3 linked regions of the Canis lupus familiaris genome follow. The protein of the gene in region 1 purifies or fractionates together with the protein of each later gene. This does not show direct contact. Links are inferred from orthologs where the notes say so. Each region holds a gene or a part of one and is shown in the gene's direction. Other genes may lie near its edges. The genes, in order: TRIB3, COP1 and SQSTM1.

Evidence for each region.
Region 2: the proteins of TRIB3 (region 1) and COP1 purify together in Homo sapiens (affinity purification with mass spectrometry; 5 studies listed by BioGRID and IntAct, counting the BioPlex papers as one, with this or other methods). This does not show direct contact. The link is inferred for Canis lupus familiaris from reciprocal best matches to the Homo sapiens genes TRIB3 and COP1.
Region 3: the proteins of TRIB3 (region 1) and SQSTM1 purify together in Homo sapiens (affinity purification with western blotting; 3 studies listed by BioGRID). This does not show direct contact. The link is inferred for Canis lupus familiaris from reciprocal best matches to the Homo sapiens genes TRIB3 and SQSTM1.

The regions. Positions count from the first base shown.
Region 1 is NC_049245.1:20,956,080-20,959,723, reverse strand, and holds part of TRIB3 (tribbles homolog 3), read left to right. Parts: intron 1-3,474; coding exon 3,475-3,644. UniProt on the Homo sapiens protein: Inactive protein kinase which acts as a regulator of the integrated stress response (ISR), a process for adaptation to various stress. Inhibits the transcriptional activity of DDIT3/CHOP and is involved in DDIT3/CHOP-dependent cell death during ER stress.
Region 2 is NC_049228.1:23,215,880-23,220,284, forward strand, and holds the start of COP1 (E3 ubiquitin-protein ligase COP1), read left to right. Parts: upstream 1-1,466; 5' UTR 1,467-1,792; coding exon 1,793-2,214; intron 2,215-4,405. UniProt on the Homo sapiens protein: E3 ubiquitin-protein ligase that mediates ubiquitination and subsequent proteasomal degradation of target proteins.
Region 3 is NC_049232.1:2,128,906-2,132,549, reverse strand, and holds part of SQSTM1 (sequestosome-1), read left to right. Parts: intron 1-494; coding exon 495-575; intron 576-868; coding exon 869-928; intron 929-3,644. UniProt on the Homo sapiens protein: Molecular adapter required for selective macroautophagy (aggrephagy) by acting as a bridge between polyubiquitinated proteins and autophagosomes.

The DNA.
Region 1 (3,644 bases):
CCTTCACCTGCTTCCCTTAATGTTACCTTCTCACATAGCCACAGAACAACTATCAAAACTAAGAAATTGGGGCACCTGGGTGGCTCAGTTGGTTAAGCATCCGACTCTTGGTTTCAGCTCAGGTTATGATCTCAGGGTCATGAGATCGAGTCCTGCATGGAGCCCTATGTGGGGCTCTGTGCTCAGGGCTGAGTCTGCTTGAGATTCTGTCCCTCTCCCTGCCCCCACTCACACATGCGCTCTCTCTCTCAAATAAATAAAATCTTAAAAAAAAAAAAAAAAAAAAGAAGAGTACTACAAGAGTGATAGGCCCCTCTCAGCACGCCTTGTCAGGAGACATGTGGTGATACATAGTACTGTGATGTTAACCTCAGTCATTTGGTTAAGGTGGTTTCTGCCATGTTTCTCTACTGTAACATTCCTAATTTACCCTTTGTAATTTTTTTAAAAAGATTTTATTTGGGCAGCCTGGGTGGCTCAGTGGTTTAGTGCCTCCTTCAGCCCAGGGCATGATCTTGGAGACCCTGGATCGAGTCATTGATCATTTAATATTTTAATATTAATTAAATTAATTAACTTCAATTAATTTTAATGAATAAAAATTAATTAATTAATCAATTAAATATTTAATATTTAAATTTTTAAAAGATTTTATTTATTTATTCAATGAGAGACACACAGAGAGAGAGAGAGAGGCAGAGACACACAGGCAGAGGAAGAAGCAGGCTCCAAGCAGGAACCTGATGTGGGACTTGATCCCTGATCCCAGGACCACGCCCTGAGCCATCCCAGGCAGGCAGGCACTCAACCGCCGAGCCACCCAGGTGTCCCTACCATTTGTAATTAAAAGGTATTGGGACGTTTGGGTGGCTCAGTGGTTGAGCATCTGCCTTTGGCTCAGAACGTGATCACCCCATCCCGGGATCGAGTCCCACATTGGGCTCCCTGCAATGGGGCCTGCTTCTCCCTCTGCCTATGTCTCTGCCTCTCTCTCTGTGTCTTTCATGAATAAGTAAGTAAAATCTTTAATAAATAAATAAAAAGTATTTACCTTTTGGGGCGCCTGAGTGGCTCAGTCAGTTAAGCATCTGCCTTAGGCTCTGGTCATGATCACAGGGTCCTAGGATTAAGCCCCACATCTGGCTCCCTGTTCAGCGGGGAGACTGCTTCTCCCTCTCCCTCTGCCTGCTACTCCCCCTGCTTGTGGTCTCTCTCTCTCTCTGTCAAACTAAATAAAATCTTTTTAAAAATTTTTAAAAATACATACATACACACATACATACCTTGGGCAGGTACTTCAAGGCCATGAGTATAAATACTGTTTCTCCTCAAACTTACCCACGGATTTCACAGGGCATCCACCTTGCCTGTAGCAGTTACTACTGTAATGCTTACCTAAGGGTGATTTTCTATTTCCTTCTACATTTTATTCTATAAGGAACATCCTTTAGTAAGAAGTAGAATGTAAATTTTGTAATGATTTTTAAGCTAATACACAGCTTCAAATAATTTTGAACTTAGGGCAAGTTTCATTACCCACAGGCCTGCCAAGGTGAAAAAGTGCTTCTTTTTTTTTTTTTTTTTTTTTGAAAAAGTGCTTCTTTGTCTTTTTAAGGCAATAGTTTGCGAAGCACTGTTTATAGAAGAGGGCTGGTGGAGTCAGACCTGGCTTTGAATCTTGGTTCTACATTTTTATCTGCTCTTTGGTCTTGAACAATGGCTTCACCTGCCTGAGCCTTGATTTTTTTCATCTGTAAAATGGGCCAAGCACCACCCAGAGCTATGATTCACAGGACTGGTCAATGTTTGTGAAATGCCAGCGGACACCCAGGAAATGGTGTCATAGAATAATCTTAATAGCAGTGGTAATTTTTTAAAAAGTGGCATTGGTAACAATGTTTATTATTAAAGTAACCCAGAGGGGATCCCTGGGTGGCGCAGTGGTTTGGCGCCTGCCTTTGGCCCAGGGCGCGATCCTGGAGAACCGGGATCGAGTCCCATGTCGGGCTCCCGGTGCATGGAGCCTGCTTCTCCCTCTGCCTGTGTCTCTGCCTCTCTCCCTCTCTCTCCCTCTCTCTCTCTCTCTCTCTCTCTGTGACTATCGTAAATAAATAAAAATTTAAAAATAAATCAATCAATCAATAAATAAAGTAACTCAGAGTGCTCTGTGGAAATTGTTTAAAGTGGAAGTTGCAAGTGGGTTACACACACTTTTTTTTTTCTTGCCTCATTTACATGTTCATTTGTTGTTGGTGGGTTTTTTTTAAAGATTTTATTCATTTATTCATGAGAGAAAGCGAGAGAGGCAGAAATACAGGCCGAGGTTGAAGCAGGCTCCATGCAGGGAGCCCGACCCAGGACCCGATCCCAGGTCCCCAGGATCACGCCTTGGGCTGTAGGTGGCGCTAAACCGCTGAGCCACCTTGGCTGCCCTGTTCATTTGTTTTTGATTGAAATTGGCTGCCAACGTTTGAAAAGTGGGATTTTTCATTAGAATCTGATTTCTGGCTTCTCTTGGGGAAAAATGGGAACGTGGGGCCCCTTTGGGAACGGTGAGAGGTTCACAGCCATGGCGCTTAGTAGGTGAGAGCTGGGGCTGTGAGACGGACTGTGAGGACGAAATGAGACACACCAGGTAATGAGTTTGGCTCTGGGTCAGGTACCCAGGGGACACCCCATAATATCCACTGTAATGTTGTGAGCCGTGCCCTTTCAGGCAGGGTTTGTGTTGAGGTGTTTGGCATGGTCTCCACTTCTATTTCTCTCACTTTATTACCTGCTTGGATCCTGTTTGCCTCTGGTTAAGGAGAGGCTTAGTGTTCTTGGCCCCCTCGTCCCCTCCCCAAGGGACTATTGGAAATGGGCTCCTCTCAGAGTCCTAGTTCAAACTGAATTGCTCTGTGGCCTTGAGAAATGACTTAATACCTCTGAGCCTGGTAAAATGGGTAGAATGTGATTAATCAACCACTCAATTCTGCCAAATGCCAGCCAGCGCTCAGAAACCGGGTGCCATCAAGGGTGATAGTGTGGGGACACCCGGGTGTCTCTGGTTGAGCACCTGCCTTCGGCTCAGGCCGTGATCTCAGGGTCCCGGGATCGAGTCCCGCATCGGGTTCCCTGCGGGGAGCCTGCTTCTCCCTCTGCCTGTGTCTCCGCCTCTCTCTGTGTCCCTCATGAATAAATAAATAAAATATATTTTTTATTTTTTTTTAATTTTTATTTATTTATGATAGTCACAGAGAGAGAGAGAGAGGCAGAGACACAGGCAGAGGGAGAAGCAGGCTCCATGCACCGGGAGCCCGACGTGGGAATCGATCCCGGGTCTCCAGGATCGCGCCCTGGGCCAAAGGCAGGCGCCAAACCGCTGCGCCACCCAGGGATCCCTAAAATATATTTTTTAAAGGGGGTGATAGTGAGGGGTGGCGGCATGGGAGTCCCCATGAGAGCTGACCCCTCTGTCTCCACCTGCCACAGGACAAAGCTGGTGCTGGAGAACCTGGAGGACGCCTGTGTGCTGACCGGGCCCGACGACTCCCTGTGGGACAAGCACGCGTGCCCAGCCTACGTGGGGCCCGAGATCCTCAGCTCCAGGGCCTCGTACTCGGGCAAGGCCGCCGATGTCTGGAGCCTGGGCGTGGCGCTCT
Region 2 (4,405 bases), on another chromosome or scaffold:
GGGGTGGTTCTTGGAAATATGATAAGCTCATTCCTCTATCATTATCCTGAGCAGAAAGTAGGAAGGTAGGAAGGTAAGCAGCAAAGGCTGATGTGGGGATGACAGCCTTTTGATGGAACACTGCTCAGATGAATGGCTAGGTCTTTTTGTTGGGCTTTCATCAGGGCCCCTCTGGTTCAGTTCATTCAGCATGGATAAAGGTTCCTAGGGAAAGGTCTTCAAAGGACAGAATTAAATCTGGGATCTTGGGCAGCCCGGGTGGCTCAGCGGTTTAGCACCGCCTTCGGCCCAGGTTGTGACCCTGGAGACCCTGGATGGAGTCCCACGTTGGGCTCCCTGCATGGAGCTTGCTTCTCCCTCTGCCTGTGTCTCTACCTCTTTCTCTCTCTCGCTGTGTCTGTCATGAATAAATAAATAAAATCTTTAAACAAAAATAAATCTGGGATCTTTCCCTCTAAGAACCACAGGACGAGGATTGGAAAAGAATACCGAAAACAACCCAGTTGTTTCTAATTTACATCACCCAGAATCTTGGGGAGTCTCAAAATGGCAAATGAAGAACCTGTATCCAATTTTCCGTATTCCAAAAAGCTACCAGAAATTACACATTTCTTTTCTTTTTTTCGTGGTATTAAGCGCCAGGTTTCCTTGTTTTGTGGTAGAGGATATCAGATCCACATTAAACCGAGATTCTGGCTGAGCCGTGGTCAGATCAGATAGAACTGGTTTTCTCGTCATCGTCATGCTTAATTTGGTAAATTCATGTTTCAAGATGCAAGACAGCACGGTCGGACCAATAATAATCGATAACACTTGCTACGATGTTTGCAATTTACAAAGCACCGGTGACTGACTTCATCTTAATGGACTCCTCACAGCCGCGTGGAATGAATGGCTTAACAGCAGGGCCCAGACTCGTGGAGGGTCAATGCAGGGCTCTTCTCAGCCGCTCAGAGCCCCGGGTCTTTCCCGTAGCGTCCACGGAGGCTTCAGAAGGCGACTCGGAAGCACCTGCCATGCCCGGGCCGCGGGCTGCAGCCGCGTCTCGGCCTTCAGGAAGGCGGTCGCCCCACGCAGTGCTGCAGCCGGTCCGCGCCAGCGCCGCTCCGAGCGGGGGGCCGCGACCCGGGCGGCAGCCAGGGTCGGCGCCCAGAGCGCGTGCGCAGTCGCTTCGGCGCGCTCCCCTCCCCGCCAGCTCCCAAGCGCGGGCGCCACCCTATCATTCATTCCCCTCTCCGCAGCCCTTTCACCCTTTGGGACAGCCCCACCCCCTCCCTCCCTCCCTCCCCTCCCCCTCCCCCTTCCCCCCTTCCCCCCCGTACGTCACCCGCCGCTCGGCTGCGGACGAGCGCAGCCCGCGTTGCTAGGCCGCCGCCGGGGGCGCGCCGCGCGCGTCCCAGCCGCCCTCGAGGTTGTCTCCGCCGCCGCTCCCGCCCCTTCCGCCGCTCGCGCGCGCGCACGGCCGGCCCTCGGCGCGCCCCGGTTGGCTGCGGCGGGGCTCGCGGCGGTGGCGGCCTCGGCGGCGGCAGTGGTTTCTCCTCCGCTGTTTCAGTTTCCTCCGCCCCCTCCTCCCGTCGGACGCGGCTGTGTGCTCGCCTTAAACAAAAAAAAAAAAAAAAAGAAAAAAGAAAAAAAAAGATCAACTTTATTGTTCCTCAGCCCCACCTCCCGGCGCGGCGCGGCGCGGCGCGCGGCCTCAGGATGCACTGAGGTTGAGGGGAGGTGAGGGGAGGGAGGCGGCGGCGGGTCGCGGTCCCTCTCCGAGCGCCCGGCCGGAGGTGGGGGAGGCACGATGTCCGGGAGCCGCCAGGCCGGGTCGGGCTCCGCCGGGACCAGCCCCGGCTCCTCGGCGGCCTCCTCGGTGACTTCCGCCTCCTCGTCCTTGTCCTCCTCCCCGTCGCCCCCTTCGGCGGCGGCGGCGGCGGCGGCGGCGGCGGCGGCGGCGGCGTCCGGCGGGGCGGCCCAGGCCGCGGGGTCGGGCGGCCTCGGGGGCCCGGCGGCGCGGCCTGTGCTGGTGGCGGCCGCCGTGTCGGGCAGCGGCGGCGGGGCGGTGTCCGCGGGCCAGTCTCGGCTCAGCTGCGCGGCCAGGCCCAGCGCCGGCGTGGGAGGGAGCAGCTCCGGCCTCGGCAGCGGCAGCCGGAAGAGACCTCTGCTCGCCCCCCTGTGCAACGGGCTCATCAACTCCTACGAGGACAAAAGCAACGACTTCGTGTGGTGAGTTGGAAGAGCATCGCCCTGCCCGCCGCGGCACGAGGAGTTTGCGCGGTGTGGGCTGGCGGGGTGCGGCGGGAGGGTGGTCTAGGTGGTGCCGGGGCGGCGTCTGCAGACCCTCAGGCCGGCGGAGGACGTGGGGGTGACTGCGGAGGCCCGGGCTGCTGGGGAGGACGTGAGGGGAGTCCAAGGAAGAATTACGCGTCAGGGGGCCGAGAAGGAGGGTCGGGTAAATGGTGGTGCGTAAACGGGGAAAGTTGGGCCTTGCTTTTTTTTTTTTTTTTTTTTTGTTTTGTTTTTTTGTTTTCTGGTGAATTTTCTGCTTTCTGGTGAATTCGACACCCTGTCGGTCCGGATTTCTTGTTGAACTTGTAAAAGGAGAGGATTAAGCTTCCTGGGAGGCCGAGGGACGGAGTTGGTCAAATTTGCTTATTGGAAGTGTGGTAGATGGTGCTCCAGACGTGGGTATGGATATTTTAAGGAGAAGTAGTATTTCATGTCAGTATCCCTCGTGTGTGTGTGTATAAATATCCTCCCACTTCAAAGGGTAGGCCACTTTTAAATCTGCTGTTGAGGCTACTGTAGTCATAAAAATCTGTTCACAAAAATTTCCACTTGTCACTAAATGCCTTGGACGCGAGGGAACCACATTTATTCAACAGCATCCATGTGTCGGATGTAGCTGTACTACATTTGTGTAACAGGTTACAGTGCCCTGGAACTTCCGATCTGAGGAACGCCAGGTAGTAGACACCTTGTCATCATAGTTGGCATCTTGAACGATACACAGTAGTATACCGTTAGGATGTCTGGCAGAGTTGGGTTATCTATATTAAGTGAGAGATGGAGTGGATTGTCTTGCTGGAAGTGTTTTGGGATTTCTCATTGGGTTTTTGTATCCAGAACCCAATCCAAACAGTAGGAGTAGGAGAAAGGAATTGCTTCTAGTTAAGTGAGAACGGGTAGGATTTTGCACTTTTCTTTTGGAGGAAATTGTTGATAGACTTAGAACATGAGTAGGAAGTTGGCTTGCGCTGTCATTATAGGGGAAGTTGATTTACCTCAGGGTTGAAGATGATGTGAGTTGGCATCATTAAGTAAGATTGGGCTACACGATGGAACTGTAGGAAAGATAATTGATTAGAGTTTCTAGGTCTTGCAGTAAAATTATCTTCACTCCTATTTCTGCTTTGGTCTTACATTACTCTGGATTGAGACAATTAATTCGTTTCTCATTGAAACTTGGCTATAATTGTTATTTATAAATAATTTAACTAGCTTATGGGTGGGTCTAAGAGGTGTTTATGCTCATACCCAGTAAGTAGGGTGCCATATGATGAAGTAGAAGCTGATGAAACAAAATGAGGATTTTCAAAAATTCTCTTTCTCTTTTTCTCTTTCTTTTTCTTTTTCTTTTTCTTCTTCTTCTTTTTTTTTGTTTTTTTAAGATTTATTTATTCATGAGAGACCCGGAGAGAGGCAGAGACACAAGCAGAGTGAGAAGCAGGCTACCTGCAGGGAGCCTGATGTGGGGACTCCATCCCAGGATCCCCGGATCACACCCTGGGCTGAAGGCGGCGCTAAACCGCTGAGCCACCCGCGCTGCTTGGATTTGTCTTTTTAACCACCATTTGCATTTTAATTAATTAATTATTTTATTTTATTTTTAAAAGATTTTATTTATTTATTCATGATAGACATAGAGAGAGAGAGGCAGAGACAGGCAGAGGGAGAAGCAGGCTCCATGCCGGGAGCCCGACGTGGGACTTGATCCCGCATCCTCAGGATCGCGCCCTGGGCCAAAGGCAGGCGCTAAACCACTGAGCCACCCAGGGATCCCCACATTTTAATTTTTAGAGGGTTAAAAGAAAACAAATATGCCAGCATTCCTATAGGTGCACTGAAATAGTAGTGAAGATGTGAGAAATAAGAGAATCAATAATTTATTCAACAGATATTTATTTGGCACAACTGTCTGCCAGGCACCATGAGTTGTATATTGACTATTTTGTAGGGAATTAGAGAGCCATAGGATAATATAAGCAGTTGGCATTGGTTTTTGTTGTTGTTGTTGTTGTTCTTTGTTTTTGTTTTTTGCAAGGAGGGTGTAGTGGTGGTGGTAAGATCATTAAAATTTTTGTCTGTCACCTAATTTTTAACTATTTCAGTCTACTCTCCCAAGTCCTAACCTGGA
Region 3 (3,644 bases), on another chromosome or scaffold:
ATTTATTTATTTTTTTTAAGTAAGCTTTATATCTAGCTGGGAGCTTGAACCCACGACCCTGAGATCAAGCATTGTATGTTCTACTGATTGAGCCAGCAGGGCATCCTGCTGAAATATTTTTAAGCGTATTCACAGAGTTAAACACTTAACATATAACTTGTGTTTCAGAATTTTAGATTCTGGTTTTATTCTAAATTTATTATTTTTCTGTTCCTCTGGTTTACCTTGTTCTTTGGAACCAAGGTGAGGAGGTTTGTTTGTTTGATATTTGACATCTGAGCTAGAATGGGGTCCATATTTCATACCCCATGCAGTGAATCCCCCCCGGCTTCTGAACAGCAGTGTCACAGAGCAGCCCAGAATGGTGGCGATGGAGGGGCAGGGTCCCAGGGATGGATGGCCCCTGTGATGAAGGTGATGTGATTGTAACAGGTGTTCAAGTCCTTGAGAAATCTGCTTTGAATTGAATGTTTTTGTTTCTTTGAAAACCAAAGTTTCTGGTCCATCGGAGGATCCCAGTGTGAATTTCCTCAAGAATGTCGGGGAGAGTGTGGCGGCTGCCCTGAGCCCTTTGGGTAAGTGGCTGCCTCTGTACTTTGGGAGTGGCAGCAACTCCGAGTGCTGGGTGATGGGTGGCTTTGGGCGGCTGGCCCCTGGGTTGCTGTAGAGGAATGCTAACTGCCGTGCCCTTGTAGCGTCACATAGGCCTTTGCCATAGCGCGGCACTGCAGGCCACTCATTTGAATTCCCTGACAGATTCTTGAGCTTTCCCCATGGAATGAAGTGGAATCAGAGTGGTTGGTTGGGATAATCCCAGTAGGCTGAGCTACGGGGTTGGCCTGTCAGCCTCTGACTGTTCTTCCCACAGAGGACAGTCTGCTCCTCACGTCCACCCTACAAACAGCCCAGGGTTTACTCAAGGACTTGGGTGAGTCATTAGTTGAGAGGCCATTTCTCTTTTCCTCCCTTTTGTCTTTTGCAGTACCAGCCTTTTTGGTGCTTGCCGAGTACCAGGCTTGTGCCCATGCTAGGGAGCAGGGCATGAGGGAGGCGGGAGTTCTATATGATGCCCGGTACCTGGCCCTCAGTTCAGGTGTGAAGTGTCTGGGTGGGTGAACCAAAGCAGGTACCCCCGAGTGGTGAGCCTGGCCCAAGGCTTTAGAAGGCACCTGTTGCATCTGCAGCCCTGACGGTGGTCGCTGCAGGGCTGGGCCCTGTGGCAGTGGGAGTCCATGACAAAGGTGATCTCTGGTGCAGGATTACAGCAGGTCTGTGATCTTTGCCTAGAAGAGCGCTCACCTCTGTGACTGCGGTGGCAGGAAGTGTCCGCTCAGGTGGCCTAGAAGGCCTGTCTGAAAGGATGCAGATGGGAAGGGAGGCAGGACTGCTCTTGCCTCCCACTGGATACCGTTTCAGCTGCCACTCCTCAAGGCCAGGACACAATTTCAAAGCAGCAGTGATGTCCTGGCCTTGCTGCTCCGTGAAATAGCTCAGACCATATACTGTTTTTGGGACTGGAGTCAAAGGCTCTTTAGAGAAAGTGAAAAGAGCGCTGATGTTCTTAGTGCTTTCTAAGGAGGATAAAAACGGAGCAGTGATTAGGTCATAATCGGGAGATAAGCCTATTGCTAAACCCCGGCTGCCACTCGAGATGTGGTGACGAAAGCACGAGGCTGTGTTGAACTTTGAGAGATGGTCCTCTAATGGGTTGTGATTTAGGGGCACGGGAAGCTGTGCAGAATCCCAGGTCAACATTCTGGATCCTGGTAAATTAGTCTTGGGTTGGGCCTGGGATCTGTGTGTTTTGAAGGCTTGCCAGTGACTTTGGGTCGCACTTGCTGTCCATCCTGAGGCCCATCTGCGCTGGGGGCATGTTTTAGAGCTTGACCCAAATTCCCTACACAGGACTTACGGGAATAATTTTGGCAGTGCTCAGGTGTTGTAGGATAAGGGTAAAGGCCTTTTCAGGTCTTTCAAAGTGGATGGAGTTACTTTGTACCAACTCGGGAGGAGCCTAGAGCTGTCCAGAAAAACAAGGGAAGTTTCAGTAAGTATGCCTTTGAGGGTTTCAGTTGAGGAGGGCCACTTGAGGAATTGATTCAACTCTAGAGTTATAGGTATTTTCCTTTGTTACAAGGAACTGACAGCTAGGATGACTCATCCTGCTAACTGCCTAGAAGGGACTGTTCCCAGAGCAGGGGCCCAGAGGGACAGACAGTAATACCTCCCAGAGGGCAGACTGTGTGCAGTGACTCAGCGGTTTCAAAGTAAAACCCCAAGACCTTGTTTGGTAGGTGCCATAAGAACCAGCTGAGCGGGTCTACCATGGAGTCACAGGACTGCTCTGGCTTGGGTTTGTAGTCACTGATTCCTTTACAAAGGTCCTGTCATTTGCTCACACAGAAAAGTTAGACGGTGTATGGGTGTTCACTGTACTGTTCTTCCAACTTTTTTGTTTGGTTGAACCTTTCCTTTTTTCTTTAAAGGTTTATTTCTTGAGAGAGTGCGTGTGCAGGTGTGGGGGAAGGGCAGAGGGAGAGAGAATCCCAAGCAGACTCCCAGCTGAGCACTAAGCTGGACACATGGGGTTTGAGATTAGAACCTGAGTTGAAACCAAGGGTTGGAAACTCAACCTACTGAGCCATCCAGGTGCCCCTGCTTGACCCTTTCATGATGAAAAGTTGGAGGGAGGGGGCATCTGAGTGGCTTAAACGTCTGTCTTTGGCTCAGGTCATGATCTCAGGGTCCTGGGACTGAGCCTCACATTGGGCTCCCTACTCAGTGGGGCGTCTGCTTCTCCCTCTGCCCCTCCACTTGTGTTCTCTCTTGCTCTCTCTCTCTTTCAAATAAACGAATAAATAAATCTTAAAAAAAAAAAAAAGTCGGAGAGAGGATAAAAGGAGAAAAAGGACTTAAATATTGCAGATGGGAGTATTGGTAACTAAGCCTGTCTTTATCTCTGTTTGCTCCTCACTCTACCAAAGTGACAATAAAGGGATTAAACACAAGAGTATAAAGCAACACAGACAAAGAAAAAGGAAAGTCCTAGATGACGAGGTAAGATGACCTTAAACTTTGAAAGACAAGCAGTGGATTTTGAGGGTGGTGAGCAACTGTGTGGAGGCATCAGAGGCCAGGGAATTGGGGGTGTTTGAAGACCAGTCTTCAGGATCCTGTAGCCATTACTGGCTGGTCAGCCGAATGATGGTCCCTGCCATCCCAGGCATGAGACCTGATGGTTAGATGCTGGAGGGCACAGGGCGAGGCGGCAGCCTGAGTGAGCAGTCGGTCCAGCAGGGGCTGAGGTGTCCCTGCTCGGGAGAGGCCATGCGTGCCGGGGCAATGTCCTGTAGCTCTGCCACCCAGGATCCCACTGCCTGGCCAGGTGCCCCATCACCCTCCAGAGGAAAGCGAATCATGGCCCTGGCCCCTCAGGGGGTTCCTCCTGGCAGCCTCCTCTTAATAATGCCTTGCTAGGATCAGACTGCCGTGGTTGCCAGCCATTGGGGAAAAATCGCAGCGTATGGACAAGAAGGAACATGGGGAAGGATGAGAGTGTCCGCATCCTCCATGAGATCCAAATAAGTACTTCCATCCTTGATAGAAGAACAGGATATCATAGAAATGATAACAGATTTATAGAG